Linked DNA regions of Struthio camelus. The protein of the gene in region 2 binds, or shares a complex with, the protein of the main gene of each other region. Links are inferred from orthologs where the notes say so. Each region holds a gene or a part of one and is shown on either strand. Other genes may lie near its edges.

What was found.
Region 1: the proteins of CLOCK (region 2) and CIPC are in contact, whole or in part, in a crystal structure (PDB 5VJI), measured with the Mus musculus proteins. The link is inferred for Struthio camelus from reciprocal best matches to the Homo sapiens genes CLOCK and CIPC. Residues at the interface, in NP_001276755.1 of Mus musculus: Gln519, Leu526, Lys527, Leu530, Arg533, Ile537, Asn540, Ile541, Arg543, Gln544, Glu547, Leu548, Ile551, Gln554, Leu555, Val558; in XP_006515773.1 of Mus musculus: Asn401, Thr402, Val405, Leu406, Ser409, Leu411, Ile414, Thr415, Thr418, Leu421, Ile422, Asn425, Thr428, Gln429, Leu432, Leu435, Lys436, Thr439, Gln440, Phe442, Ile443, Thr446.

What each region holds. Positions count from the first base shown.
Region 1 is NC_090946.1:58,937,656-58,944,863, reverse strand, and holds the start of CIPC (CLOCK-interacting pacemaker), read right to left. Parts: upstream 3,032-7,208; 5' UTR 2,823-3,031; exon of another isoform or gene 2,798-2,822; intron 2,524-2,797; exon of another isoform or gene 2,269-2,523; intron 1,301-2,268; exon of another isoform or gene 1,207-1,300; intron 1-1,206.
Region 2 is NC_090945.1:56,501,837-56,509,705, forward strand, and holds the start of CLOCK (circadian locomoter output cycles protein kaput), read left to right. Parts: upstream 1-4,816; 5' UTR 4,817-4,970; intron 4,971-7,869. Other genes in the region: PDCL2 (phosducin-like protein 2), read left to right, coding at 157-320. UniProt on the Homo sapiens protein: Transcriptional activator which forms a core component of the circadian clock.

The sequences.
Region 1 (7,208 bases), on a different chromosome or scaffold from region 2:
AGTCTATTCCCCGCAAAATTCTCAATGCGTGTTTAATAATCCATTACAGAATGGCTACGATAGGTAACAATCTTTAGTATCAACTGATACACTACTTCATAAAACTTTCTGCAGTGATGTTTTCCATCTCCTCAGGCTGATTTTTTAAGTGTCCAGAAAATTCCTATGATCCAATCTTTCAGTCCCCTGTACCAAGTACAGGGAAAGAATATAAAATGCGGCATGGATGCTGGCAAGGGCCAGTTCAAAGATGCAGAAAAACTACGGCATAGGAAAGAAGAAGTCAATTGAAGCAGAACTACAGTACAGATCTTCTATAACCCATTTTTACTATTCCTGTGAAAACTAATAAATCAAAGGGATGTGGTAGAAGGGCCAGAATTCACCTACTCAGCTTCCTTCTTCAGGGGCTAAACAAGTCAGAGTAGAGAGCACAGGTCAGCCAGTCTTTCTGAGTTTACCTGAAGTAGCATCGTTTCCTACTTAAAATTACTGAGTAATTCCTGGTAGATTCACCCAGAAAGCACACTCTGCACAAATAACTTCTAACTCTGTTGAGGATTCTACTAGACAACTAAAAATTCCTTACTGTATGCATAAAAGTTTGGAAATAGGAAGATGATTTCTTGTATTGAACTGTCAAAAACGTAATGCCCAGTTCTATTTGATTGCTCTGAAGTTCAGGACCATGGGTGACCAAGATAAAATAGCAGTTATCAGGCGTACACTTGTTATCTGTAATTAAATCAATCCTCCTTTAAGTGAAGTGGGACAGCTGTGCATTTTAAGTTTTTCTTTTTAAACACTGCCAATTAATTAATTGAAGATCTTTCAGAAGCAGAAGCATCTCAAGTGATTTTAAAAAATGAAATGTAGAGAGAAAATTAATGCATTAGAGCCATTTCTCTATCCAAAAAGGCAAAACAAACTGAAAGCTGAAAGCTATTCATAAACAACATTTTGTTGAAGAATTAAGGTTGCTCAGGCCATACCTGTCTTATAAACTCAGCTATCTTGGGTAGGGAATTGCATCCCCAAACAGGTCAGCTCTGCTGCGCAAATCCCATACCATAAATACAGCTGAACCTGCAAAGCTCTGCTTTTGCTAGCTTATTTCACTCTCAAGAGTGAGGGTACATCTGGAGATCAGAGAACGTGCTGGGGCTAGGGAAATCCTTATTGCTAAATGTGCAACACATACTATACCTGCAAAGCACTCCTAGTGGAGACATGGCCTTAGAAATGCCTCTTCTTCCCATACCCTTTCAGAATGAGAACGCTGGAAGGCTGAAACTAAAAGCTATGAAAACCAGAAAAATGTATAGTTACTTTATGGCTGCCCATAGCATGTACTCTTCACAACCTTCAGCTGCTTCCTAAGGGTAGGTAGACTCTAACAAGACAGAATAAAGTTTCTGCTTTTCTTAAAGAAGGTAGCTCAGACTCTGGCTACCAGATAGATGACAGGACGAACCACAGAAATTAGGTCTAATACTATTTGTAGAAATTACTTTCTTATAAAAAAATCATTTAAAAATGTGGTTGATGTTAGAACTATAAATTCAAATACAAATACAGGAACTCAGGAGTTCACATAATATCCAGACCAGCAGTCCACTAATGGTAGTATCCAGTGCTAGATACTTCAAATGATATTGCAGCAGACACATTCTGGAACAATCTACCCCAAAAGGTGAGTTTCTTCTTAAAAGAAGAATTGCTAGAATTCTGGTCAAGTTCTTGAGCCTTGACACCTCCAGTAATGAACTCTGCACTTTAGGTAAGAGTGCTAAGATGCTAGCATAACCATCTGTAAAACTACAAGACAGAATAATGCTCAACAAAAAAGGACTTATTCAATGTTTTGCCTCATTTTTGCTTTTTATCTTCAATCACATCTGCTGATATGCTAACAGAGACAGAGTCAACTACATTAGACCAACATGTGGACTGGTCTGGAGCTATCCTGCTCCACATACCATAAACAGAATTATTTGATAAAGCAGCATGCATTTTAACTAGATTAAAAATTACAAATATAAACTCGGCTTCACCATCTCTTATCACTAAGAGACCAGTTTTAACTGAATACTCATGGTACAGATAGGTTTAAATGGAAGATGAGGCTTAAGTCCCTCCCTTAGTTACTTATCCCTCTCCAAAATAAATAAATTTTAAAGAAAGGGGTATGTGCTGCTGATGAGCTAGAGCTAAAGAGCAGAACTAGAAACAGGACGAGGGCTAGAAATAAGTAAAATGAGAACACACCATACGTCAGCCTCGCGCTTTAGGCAGGACGGGCACGTCTTCTCCCCCATACGAACAAACCACACGAACGAGGCGGGTAAGGGCCGAGGCGGGTAAGGGCCGAGGCGGGTAAGGGCCGAGGCGGGTAAGGGCCGAGGCGGGTAAGGGCCGAGGCGGGTAAGGGCCGAGGCGGGTAAGGGCCGAGGCGGGTAAGGGCCGAGGCGGGTAAGGGCCGCGCCCCGGCGAGGCGGCGGGCGTGCTGTGGCCTGCGCGCCCCGGCGGGGCCGCCGCGCCCCCGGGGCAGCTGCCCGACCCCCCCCCCCCCCGCCGCCGCCGCCGCCGCCTCCTCCTCCTCGAGGCCGCGCCCGGGCTCTCTCGCTGAGGGCTGACCCCCGGGCTCCGCGCAGCCGTCCGGCCGGGGCGGCGCGATGAGCGACCCCCGTCGTCGGGTCGCAGCCGCCGCCCCGCAGCACCGCCACACGGCGAGGCCGGGCGTCTCCACAAGCCCCCCCAACCCCCGCCGCTCCCGCACAGCCACAGCCGCGCTCACCGGGCCAGGCCGGGCCGCCCCTCACCTGCGTGCTGGCCGCCACAACGCCAGTGCCGCCAGGCTGCGCATGCGCGCGGTCGTCACCATGGCTACAACCCTCCCTCCTCACCATCCCGGAAGAGGAAGGCTGCCCGACCAGGCTCCTCTGGTGCGCATGCGCACAGCGAGCTGCCTGCGCTCGTCGCCGGAGCCGGCGTGACGGCGGTGCGCATGCGCGGCCACGCGGCCGTTGGTAGGCGGGGGAGGTGTGGCGGCGCGTGCGCAAGCGGGGCGGGGCGGTTCCTCGCAGGGAGCGGCTGGCGTGAGGGAGGAGCGGGCCGTTGTAGGGCCTGTGAAGGAGCGGGGCGGCGGGGAGCGCTCTCTCGCCGCAGCTGCCTGCCGGGACGTGGCAGAAAAGAGCACCCTGCCCGCAGGGCGGCTTGGGTAGCTCCCACTGGCCTTCCGCCACGGCAGCCAGAACCTTTTATTGCCTGGCCTGGCCTGGCCTGGCCTGGGCTCCTGAAGGGATGAGGCAGGGTGACGAAGGCCAGGGATGCTGCTGGCCTTTCCAAGTATCGCGCAGAAGAATACAGTTCCGCTCCCTCACAGGGGTTTAGGTTTCTCTAGAGCCTGTCGGATGCCAAGAATGAGAGATGGCAGCAAAAATCGTTAGACTGACAGCCACTTGCGAAATGAGGAAGGCAGCACCAAAGAGCTCCAAAAGCTTTAGGCTTGCTTTCTCAAAGAGAGAAAGAATAGCAAAAGGAGGAGCTATCATAAGCAAATGAAGAGTAAAAGATCCCCTTATTCTTCCACATGGCTGGTAAATATGAGCTTGTGAAAGAAATGCATGGATTTACTTTTCATGAACTGCAGAAAAGCAAGGCCCAGTAAGCAGGAGGAAGTAGATCTTCCAGATTAGCGTATACAACAGGAATACCTCTTCTTGTCCTAAGAGCTCCATAAACACCACCAGCACCCAGAAGTCTATCAGAATATTTTGCTTTGGGTCGTGAAAAGCCACTTCATTACAGGAAACAGGACTGAGAAGGGTTGAGCAAAGCACACAGTGAGTTCTCTGAACAGAAATGGATGAAAAGAAATGTTTTCATTGTTATGGTGGTATTGTTAAAGAACCTGAAACATGCTTGTTAACAAAGGTCAACATGGTCAAATAGATTCCAGACTGGATAAGAAAAGGACGTTTCAATGTCAACACAGCCTAGAACAGACCTATCACATGCAAAACAAACAAAAATGTGTGGTATTATAAGAAGTGATGCTGTCATTTTGAAAGCCCAACACTGAATGCGTTCCAGTCCTCCTAATGTAAAGTGCTGTGAGAGAACGCCAGTAACACATATTCCTAGAATGTAATTTTTTGAGTATTTAAATACTAGAGTTGGCTCAGAGTTGCAGTTAAACAGTGCTTCGAGGTGTGAGATAACTAGACTGTGGATCTCTTACCATTTATGAGGTTTGGGTTCTGAGGGAAAAGCATGCTAAGAACGCTGTTGCATCATGATATGTGCTCAGGCATGGTCCTGGTTGCCTTATCCCCAGAAACAACCCTTACAGATCTCCACCGAGACCAAATTTCTAAGGATATGGAGTGCATGTGCGTGTTCACTGAAAACAGCTCATCAGAGACTGATTTAGGAGAGACAATCTGCCATTCAGTTGAGGTGATTCAGAGCAGAATTGAGATTGGATGATACCAGGCCTTCATCCAAGAGACGACAGGTAGGAAAACTGAAATACTATATTATAATTGGAGACTTTTTCTTGGATAGTCTAGGTTAACCTCTGCTTTAAATAAATTGCACCTTATCATGTGAATTCTCTCAGAATTCAGCTAAATTAAACCTTAAATTTAAGAACCTCAACAGCTGAATTTTCCCTGCTCTAAAATGTGGGTTTTCTGTGTTTTAATAATACTAGTGTCATTTCCCTCTTTCCCCTTTCCTTACAAGTGTTCTTTTCATTGATAAAAGGTTTCATTTACCGTGTGCTTTCTGTGATTACTGTCAGTGACAACAGGATGTTTTCCTTTTTTCATATATTGCACTGTGGTTTGTTTGTTTATCCTGAAGGCGAGTGTTTTGGCAAATGAGTACTAGTTTTTCATTCACTTCCCTATTTATTTTGGTCATACAAAAGGAGAAGAATTAAAAGATGAAGTATGGCTGTGTGTTTACTGAGTTTAGGCATTTCAGCATTTTCTATTCAAAACCAAATGTATTGAATCACTTCTTTCAGGAAAAGATGCAGCAATCAGCTTTCTGAGAATGACTTTAAGAGGGACAAAAGCAAGTAGTTATCTTTTGAGGCTGTTAAATAATAGGTCTTGTGTGGTTACTGAACAATTAATAAAGGTGATGATGCATGGATGCCATAAACTCTTACGGGACAAAGAATCTTTTGTCCTAACACAACAGTAGAAAGAAATACTTGGCAAACTACAGAAGTAAAGCGTAGCCAGGTCAGAATAAGAACATGATTTCATAATACATTGGCTGAACTGGAAAGTTTAGGTGTTTGTCAATCTTTTTTCTTTGTATCCTGACCTATTTATTTTGCTATCACTGTCAAAATATACTTCAGTAGGTACTATATTACATTAAATTAATCTGCAAATACAAAATTAATCTGCATACATGCAAAAGTATGGTTTTATACCAGTTATTTTATTGAAGCAAAATCTAACTTTTATGATATTTTGATCCTTTTAGTATTCATTTCTATAATTTTAATACATTAATAGAAGAATATTGTTCAAATGATGCCTCTGAGTTTTTGTTGATCTTAACCAAAGAATGAATAGATGTGGATAAAGTATTTGCTTCACATTTCAGCAGAGGTGCACCAAATCTCAAACACATTTATTGTTATATTTGGGTTAGCTTTGTGGTTGTAGATTAAAACAACATTAAACCTCTAAATCTGTTTTAAAAGACATTTCATATATAGGTTGTGTTAATAGTTAATATCTTATTTATAAATATCAAAGCCTGAAAGGGATACTGTGTGATCATCTGCTTGACCTGAACTGTATCCCAGGTCATAGAGTTTCACGCAAGAGTTCGTTTAGCAAGATTTTTTTCTCTGGAGAAGATCTTTTAACACTGGCTTGTTCTTCTTCTGCATTTCACCTTTATCTAGTGATGTTTTGTTTTCAGAATATACGTCTTTCAGATTCATTTATCTGCAAGTGTATCTTTACCATAAATGTCTACAAATTTAGGGAGTGCAGAATAAAGGTCATTTAACCACAAAGAATGATTAACAGAGATGGCATCTGGAGAATAAAACAAGAAGCCAGTATCTCTAATGCTCTTTACTCTTTTCTGTACTGTATTATGTTGAAGGAGAACAAAGGTGGCTGCAATACCACCTTTGCAACTCCTAGACTGTAGAGCCAACTGAGGTTTTGGGGAAACTATGGAAAAGAGCAGCCCCAGAAACTGCTTTTAATCTGTGCAGCAACAGACTATTTCAGTAGTCCAGAGTATTTTGGAGGGCTGCATGGCCTTTCACACGCCCTCACTTCTCATGCACAGTCCTCCCCTTATCTATCTGTATCTCCAATATAGCCTCTGATAAGTGGAAAACTATGAGGTGCAGAAGTATGGTTTTACTTAGTGCTATGCAGTGAGGGAGATTGCCTCATGATACTGTTGTTTTCTAATGGGCAAATCTACAGAATTTATACTGTTGTAATAAAAGAGCTATTGTTCGCCCCAGAGTAGGGTAGATGCTATATTTTCCCATAGACCAAAAATTATCTGGGTTTGTATTTTAAATATTGGTGATAGGGGTTGTCTGTGTCGCAGATGTGGAGTCTGTTAAGGCCATCTTAACTGACTCTTCAGTATGGACTGTAACTTGTCTTCAGTTTTGCGATTGCATCTTAATTTTGTGAACCTGAGAGTGGTGATCTGTATCCTTAAATTATATATGGCTCTATGCATTCCTGTATTGTTATCTTGCATAGCCACTAGGTGTCGTGTGTCTCTTTGTATTAAAATATTATAGGGAAGGTCAAACTTGGTCCAATCAAGGACTGTCTATGGACATTTTTTCAGGATTAAATGGCTTTATCTAATTTATTTAAAATGGCAATCAATAGTCCCAAATATTACTTTAAAACAACATTATTTATATAGCGAGGGCAACAAATACAGGGTAAGGGTACTACAAGCAACAGCCTAATTCTGTACACAGTTTTGATTTATTACCAATAACATTTACATAGTCTATTGCATGACACATTGTTTGGTGGAAAGAAACAAGATGTCAGTAGGTAAGTAAAGATAGGTTCATGACATAAATGTGTGAGGTAACAGAATTAAGGCTGCACTGGCAATCTCAAATCTGTAATTTTCTAATTGTTGAGAACAGAAAACTACATCTGAGAATATTATTTTGATAA
Region 2 (7,869 bases):
TATCCCTGTTGTGATTATATCTAGTTCTAATTAACACAGTATGAAAATGTAGTTAGCAACTGTCTAAAATTTTAAAATAATGTGTATTTTATGAATAAATGTATTTTGTAATCGTTTATTGCAATTATCAGCCTAAATTGTCATTTGTTGTTACAGAGCTCGAATGGAAGCTAGCAGAAGTCGGAGCAATAAAATCTGACTTAGAAGAAAACCCCAAAAAGGACATTATAGATATGATGACATTTTCAATGCAAAATATTTCTGCTCACAAAGACACCAATGCAAAAAGCAGTGATGTGATGAAACCAAGCATTACTTAAGCAGAAATTTTTAATGCAGATAATCTGTTTTGACTTCAATTAGTTCAAACTAACATAGCTTCTTACTCCTGAAACAATACAAGTAGTTCTTGTTTCACTTGTAGGTGTTTGGTTTTGACTTTTGGAAGAAAATTAATATAGTAAATGACCCCCAAATTTAGCTTTGGATACACAGAGAGGCTTCTATTGACACTGAGAACCTGGATTCTCGATTTCATAGAAACCCTGCTTAAATAGAATTGGAAAGGGAGGATATTAGCTGGTGGGCTCTAATCCAGGACTTTTCCCCTCCTTTTCTCCAGCATGCATGCAAGTTTGAGTTCTTTAATTCATTCCCTTAGTGAAAAGATTGACTGTAGCGGAACTCTGCTGTTAACTACTTTCTCAGTTCCTCCTACTGAAAAGCTGGCCCGAGGAGAATGCTGTGTATAGTGATATAAAAGCAGGACTTGTCCCTAAATCCATGAACTAATTTTTTTCCAGTTTGACAGTTATGCAGTAATCTTCTCCCATGTCAAGGATAAACTTCCCACTATTTTCTGATACGAACAGTTGGGTCAATTGTTCTTTCCTAACAAAAATAAGTATCTAGTTAGCAAAATAGATTACAGTACAACTGTGGATAAGCAAGATGAAAGTACGTGAATGAATGAAGAGACCAAGCTCTATATTCAGCATTTTTATTTATTATGAGGAGCAAATCAGATTGTACACTATTAATGTTATTTTTCCAGTGACTCAACAGAAAAAACCCAACTATCTCAATGTGCTAACAAAGATTGAATTATATGCCGTTGACATAGTTTATGGCATCAGGATGCAGAAAAAAAGAGAAACAGATCACTTACTTACTTAATACTTTGCACATATATACCTAAGAGCAAAAAAATTAGCAGTAGCCAAAATTTTTGTCAGCCAGTAAAACGTAGTTAGACTATTAGTAAATATCCACTAAGAGATTTCACTACCAGAAACATTTATTTTACTGATTCAAGGAGGTAACTACTAGATGTATTTCAGTGTTGACAGTGTATCCGCCACTTGGAACTAGAAAGCTAACCTATATAGGAGTTTTAAATGTAACTGGGATTGCTGTGGGTATGTGATGACCATATGCTTTGCAAATTGTTGCAGACAGACTTTGGGGATTAAAGTATAGTTTCACAAGGTGAAGCATTCAGAAGAAATGCTTTTCACAAGGCTATGCTGTAAAACATTTCGGAAGCCACTCCAGCTGGGAAAAAAACACTTTTTTAATTGAGTTGTGTTTTTAAGTTGGATCAGTTTCCTGATCACATTCACTGTGGTCACAGAAGTATGCTGTTCCAATTACTTAGGCAGCATATGCTCCACTGTGGCAATAATGAAGTTCGCATGGTCATCAAAGATTTTAGATAATGGTTCCTGCGTCCCTTCAGTTTAGCATTAGCGTTGTCTCCTACAAAAGGGAGCTTACTCAGCAGCTCACTTCTACCTCCCTCCTACTGTGGCTGCAGTGAGTTACATGAGCACACGTGCTAGCGTTTTCACATTGGATGGGACAGGAATGCGTGGTTAGATGTGACAGGAAAGGCCAAACCTTCCCTCTGGTAGCCCTTATAAAAAAGGCCAGTGAGGAACAAAAAGGAACTTTCTGAGTGGATGATTGTTTTACAGGAATTAAGTATATTACGTGCAAGATGTTGATGATATCTTTGTAGGGAACGTGGCTGTGGTTAGGAAAGCACACTGGCAATTTCAGCATTTTTCGCCAAATCTAGTCCCACTGTTCAGTGATTCACAAAAGCTGCTCATAATTTGGCAATGTCTGAAAAGTAGGTTGGCGCTCATGAAACCTTTGTGGGTGAAAGAAAACTTATCATTATACACTAGAGCAAACTCACATTGACAAAAGAAGTTGGAAAAATAGTATTTCCAGGTCGAAAATATTTTGGCAAAACCACAACTCCATTTCTGAGCTTTCTGTACTGATCCTGGAGAAGCCCTTTGAATACTTTCAAAAAAAAAAAAAACCCACACAAACAAACAAACAAACGCCCCACCCCACACCATTATTTTGGTTAGACCATAGCCTTGGCAGAAAATGCAAACGTGTGATCTATGCAGCTATGCTGCCTGTGTTTTGATCATGTCAGACCCTCTGATTTAAGATGTGAGAGCTTCGAAGAGTAATTTGTTACTGCAAAATTCCTACTGGTAGGCAGTGTTCTGTACATGCAGGGTGTGAAGAGATACACTGGAGTATCTCTACTTTGTCTTCCTAAAAAATCACTACTGGTTACTGAAGATCTTGTTGCAATATATGTTATGTAACATAACATTTACATACCATAAATAGTTTGATGCTACTTTTAGTCTCCTGCTTTCTTGACCATGTTCTAGTTTTGGTAATTATGCATTTTTGCTGAAATTGTTCATGCAGTTTCTCCTGTATTTTCCATTCCTGCTGCGTACTATTATCTTTTTCTGCACTTCATCATAGGAGTGTTATCCTTCACATAAGTAATGAAATGCTTGATTTTGTTTATGTCACGTTTTCCTGCATTGAAAGCCAGAAAGAGAATATTATGAATCAGTAAAAAAGAAAAATCAAGTGTTTTCACTAATCCTTTAAAAAATTCTTCCAGTGGAAAAACTGAGGTCCTGCTTAGCTCTTTGGCAGCGTTACTACTTAAGAGGTTCCTCCTCTCCCCTCCCCCCCCCCACTACCTTTGCCAATGTCATATGGTCACATGGTGAATCAGACAGGGAAAGTGGTCTACCTGAAAAATAATCCAGAAAGGTAAATCCATGAGATTTTTGCAGCCAGATCAAGTTCCTTACTTCATTCCAGCACAAACACTTTCTTTGGAGGGGCACAGGGGAAGAAGGCTCATTAAATTTCTGCATACACATCTGTAATTACATTTTTAGATACATTACTGTTTAGGAAACCAACTGAAAAATAAACATCCTTGTAACTGAAGAAAACTAGAAATATTTGGATGCTGTTACTACTGAGTAATGTTTTGTTTTACAGAAAATGGTTCCTTGCTATGTTCTGCTGCATGTAGAACAGGTTTATGCTAGCAGAATCGCTGCACATTGAAACATCTTCCAGTCCTGCAATAGGCAGTATGGCTGGGATCAGTTATACATAAAGACTGTGCAGTATCTGCTAGTCATCTGGCTGATTAACTCTGATAAGTGATACTGCTTGTGAAAAAACAACCCAGTACAACTTAGTCTGCAAAGCATAGGCACATCTTACAGTTCTTATAAGCTTTCAAAATACCTACATGCAGACACACAAAGCAATGGTAAGTTTTATTGTCGGAGCCAGTCCTGCAAAATGATATTAGTGGTATCCTCCTGTGCTGAAATAATACATTTTCAGAACCGAGCTACCCTTCATCCTAGTGTACAGTCTGACCAACAAAAATGCTTCAACCGCATACAGGACACTTCAGGTCACTGAGTTCACAATTATGCTTTTACACTGCAGAACACACAAGTCTGTAAGAACTGGCAAAAGAGGAGCAATATATAAATTGTTGCTTTTCAGTCAGAAAGTGGGAAACTCACTCGCTTGGAGTCTTCCACCAGTTTGGTGGTCCAGGCAGCTGTCAGACCGGAGCAGCAAATACTTCTACTTGAAAAGGTTATATATTTCCACTTTTGAGGCTTACGTGATTTTAATAGGTGTTAGGTAAACTGAGATTTTTTAAAAACTCGGCTAGGGTCATTTCTACTTTTTATCGTTAAGTAGGACTACTTTATAAAACTGGGGTTGGAAGTACCGCAGGCCTGCACACAGACTTGCTCCACAGGCGCAGCCAGGCCTGTGAGCCGCACCAGTCTCACCACACCGACGTGACGCACCGCACCAGGACGGACGGCAGCCTGCACGCCGGCAGGGGCCGGCGGCGGCCCTGCTGCCCCTCCCCACCTGCACCCCGCGCTGCGTCACACCTTCAAGCAACGGCCCGGAACAGCAGCTACTCCTAAGTTTATCGTTTCAGTCACAAAACCGCTGCAAGCGGCGGAAACCCTTTCAGGGGCTTCGCTCCGCGCCTGCTTACGAGCGAGCCCCGGAGCGCGGGACTACGCGGGCACCCCACCCTCCTCGGCGGCCGGTAACCGCGAGCCGGGGGGACCCGGCCCCGCCGGGCCGGGCTCCCGACCGCCGCCATTTCCTGCCTGCGCGCGGGTTGCCCGCGCCCCGGCGGGGTGAGGCGAGGTGAGGCTCGCCGAGGTCAGGGAAGCGCGGCGGCCTACCGCGCTTGCGCGCCGGCTCCCTCGGGGCCCCGGCGGGCGGGTGCGCGCGCACGCGTAGAAGAGCCGGCGGCGGGCGGGAATCACCTCCGCTGCCGCCGCCGCGCGTAGGCGCAGCGCTGCGCATGCGCAGGAGCGGCCGCCCCGACCGAGGGGGCCGGGGTGCTGCGGCTTGCAGTGCGCCTCGGCGCACGCGCGGTGGCGCGAGGCGCCGCGGCTGCTGCCGGTGGGCTCGGCGGCGCAGGCGCGGTGGCGAGGGACTCCCGGGCCCGGCTGCTGGTGCTGCCGCTGGAGGAGGCTCTGTGCTGGCGGCGGGCTCGGGGCTGCGCGCAGGAAGCGGCTTCGCGGCAGAGGTCGGGCCGAGCGGGCGGGCGGGCAGCGGCTGAGCGGGGCCGGGTAAGGAGAGCGCAGCGCAGCGCGGCGGGCGGGCGGGCGGCGGCGCCGCCGCCACCACGGGGCCCGGCTCTGGCTTCGGTTCCCCTCGCGGGAGGGGGGGGACGCCGTGAAGGGGAGCCATTAAAGTTTGACAGCGCCGGCGGGTCCCCCCGCCGCCAGGGCAGCGGCGGCGGGCGGCCGGGGCAGCGGCCGCCCTTGGGCAGGGCGCAGGCGGGCGGCGGGCGGGGGCCGGGTCCGGGGGCGCTCGCGGGGCACCCGCTAGGCCCGGTGACCCACTTTGCTCCTGTCACAACTCCCGGGCACGTTTGGAGCCCTGCCCGCCTGGCCCGGCGCCCGCCCGGGCCGCTCCTGCCCCCGCCTGCCGGGCTGCGCGTACGCAGGGCGGGCGCGGGACTGCCCGGCATGCCGCTCCGCGCCGCTCCAGCTCTTCCGCGGCGGCTCGCAGCGCCCTGAGCCGGCGGAGGCGGCCCGGCCGCCGGCGTGGGGCGGGCCCCGGGCGCGGCGGCCCGCGGAGGCGGCGGAGCCCCGCGGCGGCAGGTGGCGGGGGGCGCCGGCGGCACCGGCCGGCGCTGCGGGGAGAAGCGTTGTCGCTCCTTCCTGCCCTTCGCGGGCCGCGCTGCGCTCCTCCTAAACGGGAGGGGTTTGGAGAAGCGGTCGCTGGTGCTGTTCTGACTTAAGGTGCGCGCTGCGAAGCTGTGGGTGTGCGAAGCGGGGCCAGCCGGGCACGGCAGCTCTGTGCTGCTTCTCTCTCGTTTGTGCTTCTCTCAAGCCGGGCTTGTTTGTTACTCGGTTTCGTTTTCACATTCTTAGCACTTCTGGTTTGGGATATAAGTTCTTTCCAACCCCCCCCCCCCCCCCCCCACCGTGTGGAGGAGTGTTTTTTAAACTAATGAAACATTCGTTCTGAGGTTTTTGTAACGGCTTTTTCATGTTAATGTTAAAAGCTGACCTCTTACGAGGCACACGTGCAGTCAGACGTAGTTCTAGCTGCGATATGAAGTGGCATGTAGAGACAGAGAGGTTGATCGTGGGTCCTGATCCTCTAAACCCTGAAAGTAAATTGTTTAGGGCATAGTTAGACAAGCAGTGCTTTTGGTGGCAGTGTTGACCAACAGGCCCGTCTGTTCCTTGCGCCGTGTTTTCACACTCTGTGCTGCCCCCCTCAGCTCTACCAATACAACTGTGGGTGGAACTGTGCCCTTCACTCGGTTGGGGAAATGATCCAGGTTAAAATTAACTACTATATTCCCCCTTTTTTTTTTTTTTTTGATGTGGTTATATTTAGCCTACGTCATTTCTCTGTGTGGCAGGTGTGCCAGAAAGCAAGAGAATTGTTTAGGTAGATATTTTAGTGAAAGAAATGCTGGCGAAATACACCTCGACTCCAGTAGTCCTGGCAAAGTTTTGAGTAGTTTGTGTTGTATTCAGGTTGACTTCTTTGAAGAATAAAAATGGCTTTTGTTTCTGATTATCTGTGGGATTTGGGCTTGTTATTTAAAACTAGACAGTATTTGATTGTTGTAATAGAGGGTTTCTACTTGACAGAGTAAGTGATTTTGCAAAATTGAATTTAAATAAATTGCCATTTTTTATGTGCATCTGTTCAAGAAACTTTGCCATAAGATTACAGACATGTTAAGGAATTTCTTCCAGATATATCAAGTATTAAATCTTGGGGTTAGAGTGCTGTGGTTTGTTTTTTTGCATGCTAGTGTTTTTAAGGTATGAGAACTTCATTGATAAGGTGAGGGTTACTTCCTCTTCAGAAATAGTTCAGAGAGGAAAAAAGTAACTCCCAAACTGATTTTTAATAATTTAAAATATCATTCAGCAGCATCATATTTTTATTTCTGCTGCTTCGTATTCTTACGTAGAGAAGTCTATCTGCTTTCCTTATGTCTTTTTATTTTACATATATTTGTTAATGTTTTCTTTCTTAATGCTCTAAGAACCATATAAACTCCCTCTTGTGGCTAATTTTACACTTTCTATACTTAATTGAAAAAGTATCTGAGTTGCAGTTACTTCAAATTTTATTTGCAGGGTTGGTTAATTATCTTGGTAATGTAGAGTTTCACGGAAGTCATGAATCTTCATAGATGAATTGATCTTGCTGAGGAAATAGTTGCTTTTCAGAGCTTTGAGATTTTGCTTTTTTTTGACCCTATTCAAAAGTTGGACAAAAGGCTGAAGTTACAAATTAGTGGTAGGGATAACATGTCTTCCTCCCCCCACTGCACCCTAGATATTCTTTATATGAAATGTCTATATGAACTTCCAGAATTGTTTCTTTTTCTCACTAAATATGAAAGACATGAATTCAAGATAGTTCTGATTCAAAAATGCAGGTTTTTTCATCCTTTGAAAACTGCTGCTTGTGAGCTGTGCTCCCTTTAAGGAAGGGATGTGCAATCTGCTGTCTGTCTATTCTGAAGCTGTGAAGCTTAACTTTGTAGGCTGGAGAATATGGATAGTACTCCTCTTAGAATAGAAAATTAGTGTCATAATACAGTGCGTGATAAAAAGCTAATACATGATATTGACAGGATGAAGTAAAATTATAGCAAAGGTGTGTCGTCTTTCTTATCACATGGTAATGAATTAGTTTTTCTTGAGTAAAAGACTTTGGTGGACATTTGAAAAGGTTTGGAGTAGAGAAAAGTACATGTTAGCATTTCAGCCTTTTTAGTAATAGAAATAGTTTAGTGATAGTTTCCATATGAACACTAAAATTCAGATGGATGGGTAGCAAAGATGGTGTTTGTAGTTGCTGCTATCCTTACCTTCTATTTACTTATTTTGCAAAGTATTTTTTAACCTGCATATGTTAATTGAGCTGGTTCACCCTGTTGAAAGCTGCGATGTTACTGCTGGGGGGATGGCATAAAGGGCAGGAGTG